2 linked regions of the Lonchura striata genome follow. The protein of the gene in region 2 interacts with the protein of the main gene of each other region in a pairwise test. Links are inferred from orthologs where the notes say so. Each region holds a gene or a part of one and is shown on either strand. Other genes may lie near its edges.

Region 1 (7,493 bases), on a different chromosome or scaffold from region 2:
AAGATGTGATGAATGTTGCTATTGTCCCTTGTGTATGTTTATGAAATGCATAAATGTGCTGAATGAGAAATGAAAGAGTTACTTCCACAACTGGAGTCCTCAAAAACTTCTCTGTCACATTTTCATGATATGTACACATCTCTAAGCCACAATTCTGAAAAAAATTCACAGAAATTATTTAATTAGCAGGAATGTTTACAGTAACAGTGTACTGTAAGTAATAGTTACTATAGAAATTTAATAGAAATTAAAGTACAAATCATTAGTACTGCCACTAAAAATGAGAAAAGTATCACTATAATAGAGGGCACAAGATACATAATTACCTTAATACTCCCGGACAGCTAATGCTCCTAGGCAGCACAGCTGAAAATGCAAAATAAAATCCTCAGATACAAGAATTACTTGTAGAAATGGTAGTGCAAAGAATTATTATGATTTTTTAAATTCTGAGAATGTGGCATTCTTATTGACAGTTTTTGAATACAGATGAATTAATACCAGAGGGAAAAAAAAATACCAGTTTCTCTTATTACTGCTTTTTAAATTCAACATTAAATAGGCACTTTACAAGACATAAGAATAAAACTTAATCCCCGCCCTTAGCATTACTCAGGTCTGAGTCTTCTGTGCCTGAGTGGATCCTGTGCTCCAAAAGCTGGATCTGTTATCTGCAGACCCCATATCCCAACAGTACAGGGATGCAAGCCAGAAAGAAGATAACCATAACAACCACAAGAAAAAGCCCAATGATAAAATGTTGTTTTTGTGGTTGTTATTAACTGTAGTTATCAAAAATTACACATTTGAGCAACTGTAAGGCTATTGGTAATTCAAGTGGTGGGAACAGTAATATGCATGTCTGTCATTCACAGCAGTGGCATGGATCAGAGGGAGGGGATTTTAAGAGTCTAATTGAGTATGGAAAGAAAAATATGTCATCAGATGACAATCATATTTTTTGACATAAGCTTCCAGCCAGGAAGCTTAATCAGAAACAAATCTGTGATTTAGTCTGAATTATCCCCTTCCCTCCTGAAGCACAGAAAGGATGCTCACTGCTTTTGAGAACAATTGCTAATCACTGTGAAAATGTGAGCCGGCTCAAAAACTCTGATCAAAACAACAAACAGCTCCTTAGAGCATACACAAAGCTGAGTTCATGTGGGGAAAAGAAGGGAGGAGAATTTAAATCATTTCGGGAACAAATGGTTGAAAACAATACTCTTAGTAACCTAAACCTTTTAGATGGCTCTCTGAGAACTGGCCCCGTTTCAGGGGCAGGGGAGGCCAGGGCCACTCCTGTGTCTCTGGGACACCCCTGGCATCACAGGTATCTCAGCCATCCCTGCAGCGTGATCACAGCATTCTCTGCTTCCTCCTCAGCCCATGTAAACACACTTTGTCCTCTCTCTCCCTGCTGACAGGTGAAGGAACCTCAAAACTTGGAGAGTAGTACCTTCATGAATTTCCACAGAAAAAAGGCACCAGGTCAGCATGGGCTTGCTCAGGCTATTATGTAGATCTTGAAAATTAGCTGCTCAAAAGTGTAGACACTCCCTGACATTCTGTTTTGCTGGCTAGAGATCAGGACAACCTTCACAGCTACATAATATAATACTGTTGAACTTTTGTTTGCAGCCCTTGATTTGTAACCATTTTGATACGTGAGATCAAACAAAACAATGTCTTCTTGAACTACTTATGTAAATATTTTTATATCCTATACTGATTTCTGCTATATTTCCTAGGCAAAACCTGAAAACACTGAGAAAACAAATAATGGGATTGCATTTTAGTGACATTCATGTGTAGACCTTCTGGAAAAAGTATTGTATATTATTTCTGATCTGGACTGGTAAATACAATCCCATGACATCACATTTAAAAATGGCTGTGATCCACCCACTGAGAATGCCAAAGAAAAGCTGGCTGATTTTTTTTTTTTCAAGAAAGCTAGCACAAAGATTACAAGGTGAAACAAATGTCTGAGGCTCATTGTCTACATGAAGAAAAGCTCAGTGTTAAAAGGAAATATGCTACTTAATATTTTCTTAGTTCTCACTTTCAAAACTGTTTCAATTAGTGCATTTGGCATTTAGCTGGACAGGTCAGATGGACATTCTGGTGACATTTCTCCTTTTCTTTGTCCCTTGCCTTTGTCTCCTTTCCTATGTTGTTGGTTTGGTTTTTTATTTTATTCCTGTTTCTTTCCCCTTATTTTATTTCTCAGACCATCATGCAGGTCTTTCTATTCTTTTTCTATGTTGCATAGCTTGCCTTCTTATGACTGATTTCTCATCCTTGAAGCTGTCTTACACACTTTGTTTGCCCCAGCTGACCTCCTTTTACTTCTCTGCTGCACCTTTCCCTTTTTCCTCAGCCATCTTCCATCCCTGTTAACTTCCTGTAGAGTGTTACTGACACTTTTTGCAAACAAGGTTCTCTCTAAGCAGAGCAGTCATGGTTGTTGGCTCTCAGCTGACAGATTAACCTGTGAGTGAGCACAGAATGATAAAAGCAAAAAGACAGCACTGACAGAAATGTTTATTCATTCCCAGACCATCCCACCCCTGGAAAAAAAAAAAAAAAAGTCCCATTTAAATGAAAATTGTTCATTTAAATGAAAATTATCCATTTGTGTCCAAGGTGTCAGTGTTCCACTTCTCTGTCCCTAAGCTATGAAGGGAATGTGGGGCTCTCCTTCCTTCCCTTCTTTGTCCACCTTGGGAGAATAAAAGTGCAGAGATGATACCTTCATTCTTCTAAGTCAGCAGTAGGATTTTATTTTTAAATATAGCTTCTGTGCAAAGCTAGCTGCTTTCTGGTTGGTAGACTATATCTTCTGGTGCCCTTTCCCACTATAGTTTACCCTGCATTTGAAATTGCTTCCTTCTTGCTAAAGGTTCCCAAAAGCTTGTTCTGCGAAACGGACCACATTTGCTCGGTCGCAGTTTTGTCCTAATTATAAACCTGAATGCAGAGCGGTGACATGTTCTATTCCTCTTTTAGCCACACGCTTCCATAAATGCTGACAAGTCGGGAGCGGTGACAAACAGCTCCCAGCGCCGCCGTGGAAATCGCCGCTGTGCTTACAGCACAACCCCAGCAGATGGCAAAAGGAATCGCCTCGGCCCTGCAGCGGTTTGACAGGACTGGGAAAGCGCAAACACCTCTCATTGCTTTCCCCTTTCTCTGCTAAAAGGAGCACGACAGCGCACAGGTTAATCCACCCGCCTGCACCCTGCTGAGCTGTGCGAGTGCCGCTGGGCACAAGCCGCCTCTCCCCTTTGACTTCTCTCTCCAAGCTAAAACGCCAAATGTCGAGACACACACAGCGTGCAGAAGGAATGTAAGGTGTATGTGCCTTAAAAGCCGCCGATGTGTCAGCTTCACTTCAGACATATTTAAAATAGGTCACCAGCCCTTGCTCCCCCTGTTACCACGGTGAAACGGGCATTATGAAAATGAATTTGCATTTCACGTGCCTAAGCACAATCGCTGCCATTTATTCCCTCCCACGGGCAGCGCTACCAGCCCCGCGCCTGCCGCGGCGCTCTGCGCCCTGCCCGTGTGCCCGCGTCCTCCGCGGCTCTGCAAGCGCAGTCCCTGCGCATTCCCGGGCGCTCCCGGACGGCTTGACGGGCCTGGCGAGCGGCCCGGGGCACATCCCGGGGGACATCCCGGGGTACGTCCCGGGGGCACATCCCGGGGGCACATCCCGGGGCACGTCCCGGGGGACATCCCGGGGGCACATCCCGGGGCACATCCCGGGGGTACATCCCGGGGCACGTCCCGGGGCACATCCCGGGGATATATCCCGGGGCACGTCCCGGGGCACATCCCGGGGCACGTCCCGGGGGTACATCCCGGGGCACATCCCGGGGCACATCCCGGGGGTACATCCCGGGGCACGTCCCAGGGCACATCCCGGGGCACATCCCGGGGTACGTCCCGGGGGTACGTCCCGGGGGCACATCCCGGGGCACGTCCCGGAGTACATCCCGGGGCAGGTCCCGGGGCACGTCCCGGGGATACATCCCGGGGCACGTCCCGGGGCACATCCCGGGGGTACGTCCCGGGGGCACATCCCGGGGGCACATCCCGGGGGTACATCCCGGGGCACGTCCCGGGGCACATCCCGGGGGTACATCCCGGGGCACGTCCCGGGGCAGGTCCCGGAGTACATCCCGGGGCACGTCCCGGGGCACATCCCGGGGGTACATCCCGGGGCACATCCCGGGGCAGGTCCCGGGGGTACATCCCGGGGCACATCCCGGGCACCTCCCAGGCCGGGCCGGGCGGCGGCTGCGGCGGGGCCTGCGCGGGCAGCGGCGCGTGCGCGGCGCGGGGCGGGCCCGCGCTGACGCCGGGGCGGGGCTGAGGAGCGCCCGGCGCGGCCCGGCCCGGCGCGGCCCCGAGGGCGATGGCGGCGGCGGGGGGCGGCCCGGGGGCGCCCGCGGAGACGCCGCCCGCCACCGCCGCGGGCGTCGCCGCCGCCGAGGCCGGCGCGGTGTTGCAGCGGGAGCCGCTGTACAACTGGCAGGCCACCAAGGGCTCGCTGCGGGAGCGCTTCGCCTTCCTCTTCTCCAACGAGCTCCTCAGCGACGTGCACTTCGTGGTGGGCAAGGGCAGCGCCCGCGGCGGCGGCGGCGGCGGGGCGGCGCCCCCCGGGCCCGGGCAGCAGCGCATCCCCGCCCACCGGTTCGTGCTGGCGGCCGGCAGCGCCGTGTTCGACGCGATGTTCAACGGCGGCATGGCCACCACCTCGGCCGAGATCGAGCTGCCCGACGTGGAGCCCGCCGCCTTCCTGGCGCTCCTCAGGTCAGCGCGGGCGGGGGCGGCCGCGCTCGGAGGGGGCTCCGCGCCGCGGCGCCGCTTGGCCGCCGCTGCCTTGGCCTCGCTCCGCGGCCCCTCCCGGTCCTGTCCCCACAGAGCCCGGCCTGTCCCTACTGCCCGTCCCTGGAGGGAGCTGCAGGGAAGGCGCGGGAGTGCCTTGGGGGCTGCGCGCAAGGTCACAGCGCGCTTCCAACGTGGTTTGGTCCCTCTCGCTCTTTACCCTGCACTCTATTCCCAAGAGAAGTGCTCTAATTCCCTGGCAGCTGACTGTCCCTTTAGGGAAGCGCTCGGTGGGTGTGTGGTTGGGCTCTTGGATTCAAGGGTTTTGGTTTGTTAAAGTGAAATGATGGGAATTCCTGGGTCCCCTTGATGATGCAACTATCCAGGCATTTTCTGATAGTGACTAAGAAGGGGCAGAGGCTGTTTGTACTAAGCTTTTCGTTTCATTTGATACTTACCACGACATTTGATACTTTGAAGTCTTAGTCATCTTCCTGTTCACTTTTCTTTCTCAGCGATGACAATAAGTTGTTGCATCTCTTTGCCATAATAACACCCATTGTAATCGTACTTGGGCAGAGGAGGAACATGCAGCAGAAGGCAGTAACCAGCTGATTTTCACTTCCAGGCCGTCTGAGTGTGAGACTGGGAGCGCAATGATATAAAGGATATAAAGGAAGGATATAAAGTGTGTTAGTGATTTCTAATTTGGGCAGAGTAGGATCTGCTATTTTGCGTGCTCACAAAACTGATGATTTTACCTATCATTTATTTCTCTGTACTCAGTGTAGTGGCAAGTAAAATTTATGGTATTCATAGAAGTAATTGCTAATAGTTTATTTGTACCTTGGGCTGTGGTGTGGTAATACAACTAACCTGCATAAACTTAAGGTTTTTATCAAAGAAACCACTCTGCTAGGCAAAAAATATAAACTATAAAATATATAAAACAGTTCTCTCTAATGAACATTTGGGAAACAAGTGATATTATTGCCTGGAAATAAATATGTAGTGTCTCAAAGTTCTTTGTAATAGGAAAAACTTCAAAGTCTTGGCAACTTTCTCCTTTTCCTGAGGCCCAAGAGACAGGAACAATTAGAAGTCACCTGGTCCTTAGGTAATCACAGGCAAAGGAGGTAAAGTAAGTGATGTGCACAAAACCCCCATGAGCAGCAATGTCTTGCTGTTGCTGTTAGCAAATGAACTGTTTTTTGTGGATGTTTTGTGCAGAGGAGCAAGAGGTAGTGGGAAGTGTCTTTTAAGCAAATTGGCTCTGAAGGTTGAAAGTAAATGACAGTGCACATCTGTACGTTTGTGTCTGTATATGCGCGAAAAACGCTGGGCAGGGAAAAGTGGGTGTAATAATACAAGTTTGTCTGGATAAAAATGGAAACACAGAAGCAGAGATTTCTAAGTAAAGATAAGAAGGATGGTGTTTGAGCACTGAGGAATGAATGAAGAGATGTTGTTAAAAGCAAACAAAAGCATCCTGTGTTGTAGGGCTGCCAGTGTGTAATGGCCAGGGGACTTGCGTCAGTGCACTGACTGTGCTTGTGCCTTGTCTGAATATCAGCATACTGGTGACTGCTGAAACAGCTCAGGTTTGCTGTCTCTGCCGGCTCTTCAGGACATTCTTCCATGCTATGTGTATTTCTTTGAGCTTATATTGAAATAAATATGCATTGCAGTACCTTGTTAAAAACATCTCTAGGGAGACCTTCTCTAATACATGCCAGTACTGGGCTTTTTCCATGATGGAAACAACATGGGGTCTTTTCCTGGTGTTGACTGAAAGAGACAGGAATGATACCTTGCACCATTGGCCTCTTTTATCTATCATTAGTAAATCACTCAGATAATGATAGTTACCTTTCACAGGACATTTCCTTAATGCTTGAAAACACCAATGTGAGGTATATTGCCTAGAAGTTCAGTCAGGATGTTTGAATACACATAGCAAATGAACATCAAGTAAAGGAAATGTTTGAGTAATGAAAAACTTTCTAAGCATAATTTACTAATTATTTAATGTTCCTTAGCTCATTGCCATTTTATTTACTCATGTGGTTTGTTGAGTCATGTCGTAGTTTATTTGTTTCATAAGGATCTACTGGCAAATACTACTTGTAAATTAAAGGAAAAGACTTTTTAATGCAAAAATAGTTTGACAGATAAATCCTTAAGACCTGAAATAATATCAAAGTCACAAAGTCACAAAAATCTGTTTCCCAATGAAACAACTTTTGTGTGTGTGTTTTTAACTACAAATTGAATAGCAATGATCAAGAAAATTCATGTTGTCTCAGTAGGTTTCTGCTTTACAGTTTCTTTTTGCTGGTTTTACTAAGATTTTTTTTTTTTAAATTTTCATTCATATTTTACAATAAGCTAACTTGTCCTTTGATCACAGAATAAATGAAAGTGATGATATGGCACAAGTTAAGAGTCTGTCTTCCAAAAATCTTTTCAGAGAATTTTGGCAAGCAGTAAATAAAGGGCTAATCATGGCTAACTTGAAAAAAGGTTCCTGTGTGCTTTTATAATGGTGAAACATTCCAGCTATTGAGAGGATGCTCCCACAAGGGGAGAAGGAAGTGCTAACCTGAGAGTAAAGAAAAATAGCATAAAATGTATGAGAGGCTTATACTGAGTGA
Region 2 (6,931 bases):
TTTATCGCTGCCTGACAATAATCAAAGTACAAACCAATTCTAAATATCTTGGGGGGGGGGGTGGGGGGAACCAGCACATTTGGGATTCCTACTACCCACTCCTAATCTTTGCCATTAAATAAGATGAAAATAAGAAAATAAGAGCAAGAGCCTCAGGTCTCTGCCTGAAGGAGAACCTCTGTTCTCACATCCGTGCGTGACGATTCCTGATGCACCAGTGCAAAGAGCTCCTGTGCAGAGGAAACAAGGCTCAGAGCAAGCAGAGGTGACAGATTTTCAGGGAGATCTGGGGTGGTCACAAGGTCAAAGAGTCCAGTGTCTATTCAGCATTATTCCCACAGCAAGACTAACAGGGTTACACGTACCTTCCAGTGCTGAAAAGGGTTTTGGGGCCTCTGATTAATGACAATGATGTTACATGACTGCCACAAATAATTACAATAGGAGGGAAAGGGTGCTGATGCCTACACTGGTATGGATTTGTTGGGTGCACTTGATTTACCAGGAATTCCGTTTTTTCATCAAGGTGTCTTACTTTGAATTTCTGTATTGAATTCCTTCAACACATGGTAGAAATAAAAACCACAGGAGTTTCAAGAGCTCTATGACTAAAACTCTTAGAAGAATAAAACAGCACATGGTCACAATAGAGGAGAAAAATCCCTCTGAAGGGTTCACTGGAAGATGGAGTCAAAAGGTGAAATATACATCGTTTCCTCTATGTACAACAGAACTAAATAACTAAAGCTTACCAAGGAGTATTTTTCCCTAAATCAAGATGATCTTTAGATGAAGCAAGTATTTTCCAGCACAAGAAGGCTACAAGCATTCCTATATATGCTTATATTTAAATTGCTTCAAGAGTTACACCCGTACATCTTGGGAAATCCACTGCACCCCTTTTTTCCTGATAAGAATTATTCATAGAGCCCAGCTATAAATTCAGAATGGAAATAGAGAGTTCAAAACATGCATATTTGACACTGTCTGCTCCCTGCTGCACACACACAATCACATTCCAATGAACTGACAGAAGAAAAGGTGCTCGCAAGCGTAGATCTGTAAATATTTACATGCAGTAGCCTACAAGGCAACCAGGCACGTGGACATCATCCAGAAAAGCATTCTAAAAATTAGTGTAACTATAAGTCAAGCAGATATTTTCAACCAACATTTTTGTCCTCTACCATCTCAGCAGTCAGGGGACAGCTCAGAGCTCCTCACATATCCCAAATAGTGACAGTAAAACACGCACACACACAAAGGTTGGTTGTATACCCTCAACTCCCCTTCACCCTACTTAAGCCCTTCAATTTGACAACTATCAAGTGAGGCAGGCTTGCAATCAGCTTGCTTCCTATAAAAATGAATAAATTATCAGAAAAAATTAGCAGTCATCAGGCTGATTAGAAAATACAATATTGTATGTATATATACATATATGAACATAAATATACATATAGACATATATTTATATATATTAATATATAAATATATACATATACAAAAAATTATATGTAAGCACATATATATATAAATATAAATATATATATATATTAGACTACAGGACGCTTGTAAATGTTTCTGAACAAAATGAAGTTAGCTTGCAAAGTCCCTGAAGTGATGCTGTCTACCTTTCTGGAATTGTCTACACTATGGTCTGTTAGGTTCTTTAAAGTAGGTCTTTATTTTAATTTTAAAAAACCCATCTAACAAGGTAAAGTCACATCACTTAAATAGCCAAGAAAAAAACATAAGACTGATCTTAAAATGGATGCAGCAGCTTCTTTTAAAGAGCAACATGTTGCAATCACCTTTCATTTTAGGGGAAGGAAGGGATTCCCTCAAAGGAACAGAGACGGGGAGCAGTGGGGGGAGGGAGCCTGCGATTAAAAAAAAAAAAAAAAAAAAAAAAAGGCGACTTGGGATTTTTAATTTTTGGTTTTTTTAAACTAAAAACTTTGCTTTCCCCTCGGTTACAAGGGGCTGGTGGCGGGGATGGCGGCCCGGTGCCTCTGCAGAGGCGGCTCGGCGGCAGCTCGGGGAGGAGGAGAAGGAGAGAAAAGCCACAGAGAGAGAGAGAGAGAAAAAGAAAATGGCGCAGAGACTAAGTCCCGACCGTCGACAAGGCGACTTTCCAGGGAGGAATCGGGGCCCAAAGGCGACCCCGGCAGAGCCGCTGCGCTCGGATCGGGGCCCTGCGGTGCCCCCACTCGGGGCGGCGGGGGTCGGGGGCGGCCGATCCCGGCGGGAAAGGGGCGCTTTTGGCAGCTCGATGGGAACAATGGGGCCGGTGAGCGCGGAGCCGGGACTTAGTCTCTGGGACGCCATGTCTGTGCGAGGGGCGCGCCGGGGCCGCACTCACCGTTCGCTCGGAAATCCGCCTCGATCTGCGGGGAGAGCACACAGGGACACACCGTCAGCACGCCCGGCTCCGCGGCGCTCCGGGGGACCCCCGCCCCCGCCCTCACCCTCATTTTTAGGGGAATTAAATACGAAAGGAGAAAAGCCCGGCGCGATGCGGAAGGTGATGGGGGAACCGGTGAAGCGCCTCCCCGGCCCCCGCGCAGCTCATGAGCGGACCCCTCCCGACCCCCCAAAGGGCAGCGAGCCGGGGAAGCGTGGCAGCCGCCCCCTCCCCTTCTCAGCCCAGCCCGGGGGTCACACGCGGGTCCCCGCTCCCGCCGCCCCCCATCCCACCGCGGGGGGACAGCTGGGCTGACAGGGCTCTGCCCAGACTTATGGGGGCGGCCGCAGGGCACGGTCCCCCCGCTGGGGTTACGGGGGGTGGCGAGGCGGCCAGCCCAGGGCCGGCACGGGGAGATGCGAGCACCGCGGCGGGGGTCCCCCGGGAGCGCGCCCCGCGGGCGGCCACGGGGCGCTCACCTGGGAATCGTTGTGCAGCTGGTCCCCGCTCATGCCGGAGGCGCGGGCGGCCGGGCGGAGCGGGAGGAGCGGCGGGCAGAGGAGCGCCGGGCGGAGCGGGACGCGGGGAGCGCAGCGCGGTTGTGTAACAGACTAAGTCCCGCTTTCGGCGCTCTGCGCATGCGCGGCGCCTTTTAAACCGGCGGGGAGCGGCCTGGCGGGCAGGGGGCGGGAAGCGGCCGCGCGCTGATTTGCATGCGAGCCACGCCCCCAGAGACGGCATGATTTGCATGCAGGCCACGCCCCGCCGGCGTGACCGCTCCGACCCGCTGCCCCTCCACCATGCGCTACGCCGGCTCGCTGCTTTACATATCCGGTCCCGCCCTTTCCTCTCCCTCCTCCAATGGCGCGGCAAAACCGGGCGCTCATTTACATGTTAAGCCCCGCCCCCTCCCCGCGGCCGCCCGGCCCGGTGCATTGTGTAAGAACTCGTGCCGCTCCGTGCGCACAGCGCGCATGCGCTACCTCTCCGCCCCGCCGGTTATTTGCATACAAGCCCCGCCCCCGCGCAGGCCCCGCCCCCAGGGCCGCATGGCGGGCGGGCCGCTCTGAGGGGCGGCGCTGCCGCTGCTGCCCGCGGTAACCCCTCCGTGACAGCCCCCGCGGCTGTGCGGCCCTCGGGGCTTCTCCCGGAGTCCCGCCGCGCCAGACCCCCGCAGGCACCAGCTCATGAGCAGTCAGAGCATGTCCTAGTGAGGGGAGGCGGGCGGGTGCGCGCACCTGTCCCGCAGACCCCTCGTTATCAGGCTGTGTTATCTGTGCGGCTGACCCTCGCTGCCGGTCTCTGCCCGCCACCGCGCCAGGCTGGAGTGCGGAGGCCGCAGGAACCACGGGGAGATGCTGGGGGGGAAGCACATCAGGCAGGTTTGGGCTCACTTGACTCCTTTTAGTCAAGGACAGCACTGGTGCATTGCATACAAGAGCATTAAAAAGGGATCAGCCCGCAAGGTTTTTCTTCTGGCATAGCAGAGTCTTAAATTTTTTCTCCTGAAAAAAAAAAAAAAAAAAAGGAAGGTAAAAGGGGGCCAAAGCTTTATTTTCTTTTAGGTAATGTGATAGTGAAGCACGTGCCTGCTTAGAAAAACACCCCTCCTTCCTCAGCCCAAACCTGAAGACATTTATTTCTGTTCCGCAGCAGCGCTTATAAACGGGTTTTCTTGTCGGTGTACTAAATGGCAGGTTTAGTATGCATGGCTGGTACGTGTCTCACAGGACTGCCTCCAGTCTTCTTGGAGCTTCCATCCTCTGCTGCAACACAGACTGTACCTTTCCTCAGCTTCTTTACACAACCAGAGCTTTGATTTGACACTAAAATAACCTGGCGCTGCCAGGCTATCTGAAGAGATACATCAAAATGTAAGCAGTGACAGCAGCCACCTATTTGCACTGCATATTTATATCCTGCAAAGGGAAAACTCTGTCACTTTCTTACCGTCTTCAGAAGAGGATCTAAGGACTTCCTTTTTTTACCGAGTGCAGGCAAATATTTCTGGAGCTGTTTATTATGCAAACTGCTTTAGTCACTGTTAGATTTTTAAATATAAACATAATGAAAGAGCTGTTTCAGACATCAGGAAGAGGTGTGTGCCCCTGGTTCACAAGAATGAGGTGAAAGCAGGCTTTGCCCTGGGTTTGAGCCCCTCCTTGCTGCCATCCAGGGCTGCAGGGCTGTGCCTTTTGAGACAGCCTGGGAGCGGGCTGGCACCTCCTGCTTCCAACATTAGAAATTCCTAAAAGCTCTTCCTTTGAAGCAGCAATTTCACTTTCAAACCTCACATCTTTGTCTCCCCAAGAAGCCCTTGCTCAGGTGGCTGTGCCTGCCACAAGAAAGGGACCCTCCACCATCCCCGGCACGCTGCAGCTGCAGCCAGCCCTGTGCAGGGGAAGGCAGCCCGGCCCCTTCCCGCAGCTGCCACCTTCGCAGGCGTTTGCAAGCACGTCTGGTCGCAAAGCAGAGCCCCCGAAACCGGCACACGAGAGGTTTAGCGCTGTGCTGCCGGCAGGAGCCTGCTGACAGCCGCGTGGGAGAGCTCGGAAGGAGCAGGGAGCTTCCCAGTTTGGTATCTCAGGTCCTGACTGCCGCGGTAGCAGTGCCAGAGCCATTAGTGACGAGCAAAACCTTGTGCTCGAACGTCAAACACCTCTCACTCCACGGAGGGAACCTGCAGCCGAGGCAGCAGCTTCGAGCTGTCTCCCAGGAGTCGCTTCCCATCTGCTGCACGGAGCCTCCTTCTCTGCAGCTATTCGAAACCCACCTGAACACAAACCTGTGCGACCTGCTGGAGGAGGCTGGGTGTTCCCAGAGGCGCCTCCCAAACGCAGCCACTCCGTGCGATCCTTTTTGTCCCCAGTCTTCCACAGGGTTATCCTGGAGCCTGCAGGGAGTCCCTGCTCTGCTGTCAGAAGCCAAGAGGCAGGGAAATACACAGCTTGTTCAAAGCACATTAAACCATAACACCTGTGTGGCCCCATCTGTTGCAACGAGCTATATGATAAAAAAAACCTTATGATCTCCAGGCCTATAACCTGCAGTACCACCGTCCAGGAGGCTGAACTTCCCTCACTCCCTTCCACGCTGGCATCCCTTGGGACACGGGAGGCTCTCCCACGAGAGGAAGGCTCGTATAGGACACACCACTCTACAACCCTGTGAAAGTGATCGTGGCCCCAAACCTGCCAGAGAAGCATTTGGACAACGCTCTTAAGCCCAGGGGAATTCTTGGAGTTGTCCTAAGTGGGAGATGGACTCAGTGATCCTTGTGCGTCCCTTCCAGCTCGGGAGATTCCGAGTCTAAGCAGCCCTTTCCACGGTGGAGGCTGGCAATGAAGGGGTTAACGTGTTTGGACCCGCTTCCCTGGCGAGGCTGTGCACACCCCATCAAGATAAATGGGGGAAGTTCACACCTCGGAGTGCTGTGATCTCTCTCCAGGGTTCCCTGGGACCAGTACATCACCATCGGGTTAATGTAGCCTAGGTGATTGCCTGCAAAAAGAAACAGCTGGAAACTATGTGTTTAAATTAAATAATAAATCACCCGGGATACAAATCCAGTAGAAAAGCCTTCAGTTCTTTTTCCTGGTGAACGGTGAGATTTGATTTATCTGGTGCACTGGGCCTCACACTGTGCTCAGGGTGCATATTTTGGGAGAGGGAGGTGGGTGCTGTTTTCCTGGCCAGCTTTGCAGTCCTGTATCAGGATGGGATCCTACACCGTGCTCCAGCCTGAGTCCACACTCTTCTGCACAGACCAACACAAGGCAAGAAACCTCGACAGCCAAACCCCTAAACCCTCCACAGCCCTCTTTCCAAGCCTTGCTCCTAGCCTCAGGTGAAGCCATCTTCATTGTGTTCCTTCAGTTGATTCTCCTTTATATTTAACTTGATTATATGCTACACTTCAAGTTTGAAAGTGAAACAAAACTGGTAATTAAATACGCTCATATCTTGGTATTTCTGATTACAATATCAGAAGTTCAGGCCTTAAGAGCACAACACTGCCAACTCATTCAATTTTATTAGCAGTTCCACAGATCCAAGTTCACTTGTTTAGTTTTCCTTTATATAATTTTGTAAAAATCTCTACTTTTGTCAGAGGCAGAGGCCAGTTTCTAGTGTTTATGTTTTAGGAGAAAAAAAAAAAAAGCAACAAAAGCCCTCCATCTGAATATGAAACAAACGCATGTTGTTTGTGAAGAGGTAACAAAGAACCAAAATGCATTTACAAAATTTACACATTTAAACCCCAAAATCTAATTTTTAAAGGCCTGTAGTGATGTCTTTAGTCTCAGCTCATTTGTAAGAGCTATGGTTTGGATATTTCTATCACTACTGTACATTTTTTTCACAGCCAGAGACCTGCCTGATGTGCAGGATTCCCAACTGGCGTCATCCTCTAAACCTGCTGTCTCTAAAACCAAGTGACACTGGTACAAAATAAGAACAGTCAGATACACGACTCCCCACTCATTTTTCATTAGCATGACCTGCTCAAAACACTCATACTTA

Evidence for each region. The genes of interacting proteins can lie anywhere in the genome.
Region 1: the proteins of TOP1 (region 2) and BTBD1 interact in a two-hybrid assay, tested with the Homo sapiens proteins (2 studies listed by BioGRID). The link is inferred for Lonchura striata from reciprocal best matches to the Homo sapiens genes TOP1 and BTBD1.

The regions. Positions count from the first base shown.
Region 1 is NC_134613.1:14,957,566-14,965,058, reverse strand, and holds the start of BTBD1 (BTB/POZ domain-containing protein 1), read left to right. Parts: upstream 1-4,426; coding exon 4,427-4,824; intron 4,825-7,493.
Region 2 is NC_134619.1:9,817,471-9,824,401, forward strand, and holds the start of TOP1 (DNA topoisomerase 1), read right to left. Parts: upstream 3,052-6,931; 5' UTR 2,920-3,051; coding exon 2,887-2,919; intron 2,391-2,886; coding exon 2,366-2,390; intron 1-2,365. UniProt on the Homo sapiens protein: Releases the supercoiling and torsional tension of DNA introduced during the DNA replication and transcription by transiently cleaving and rejoining one strand of the DNA duplex.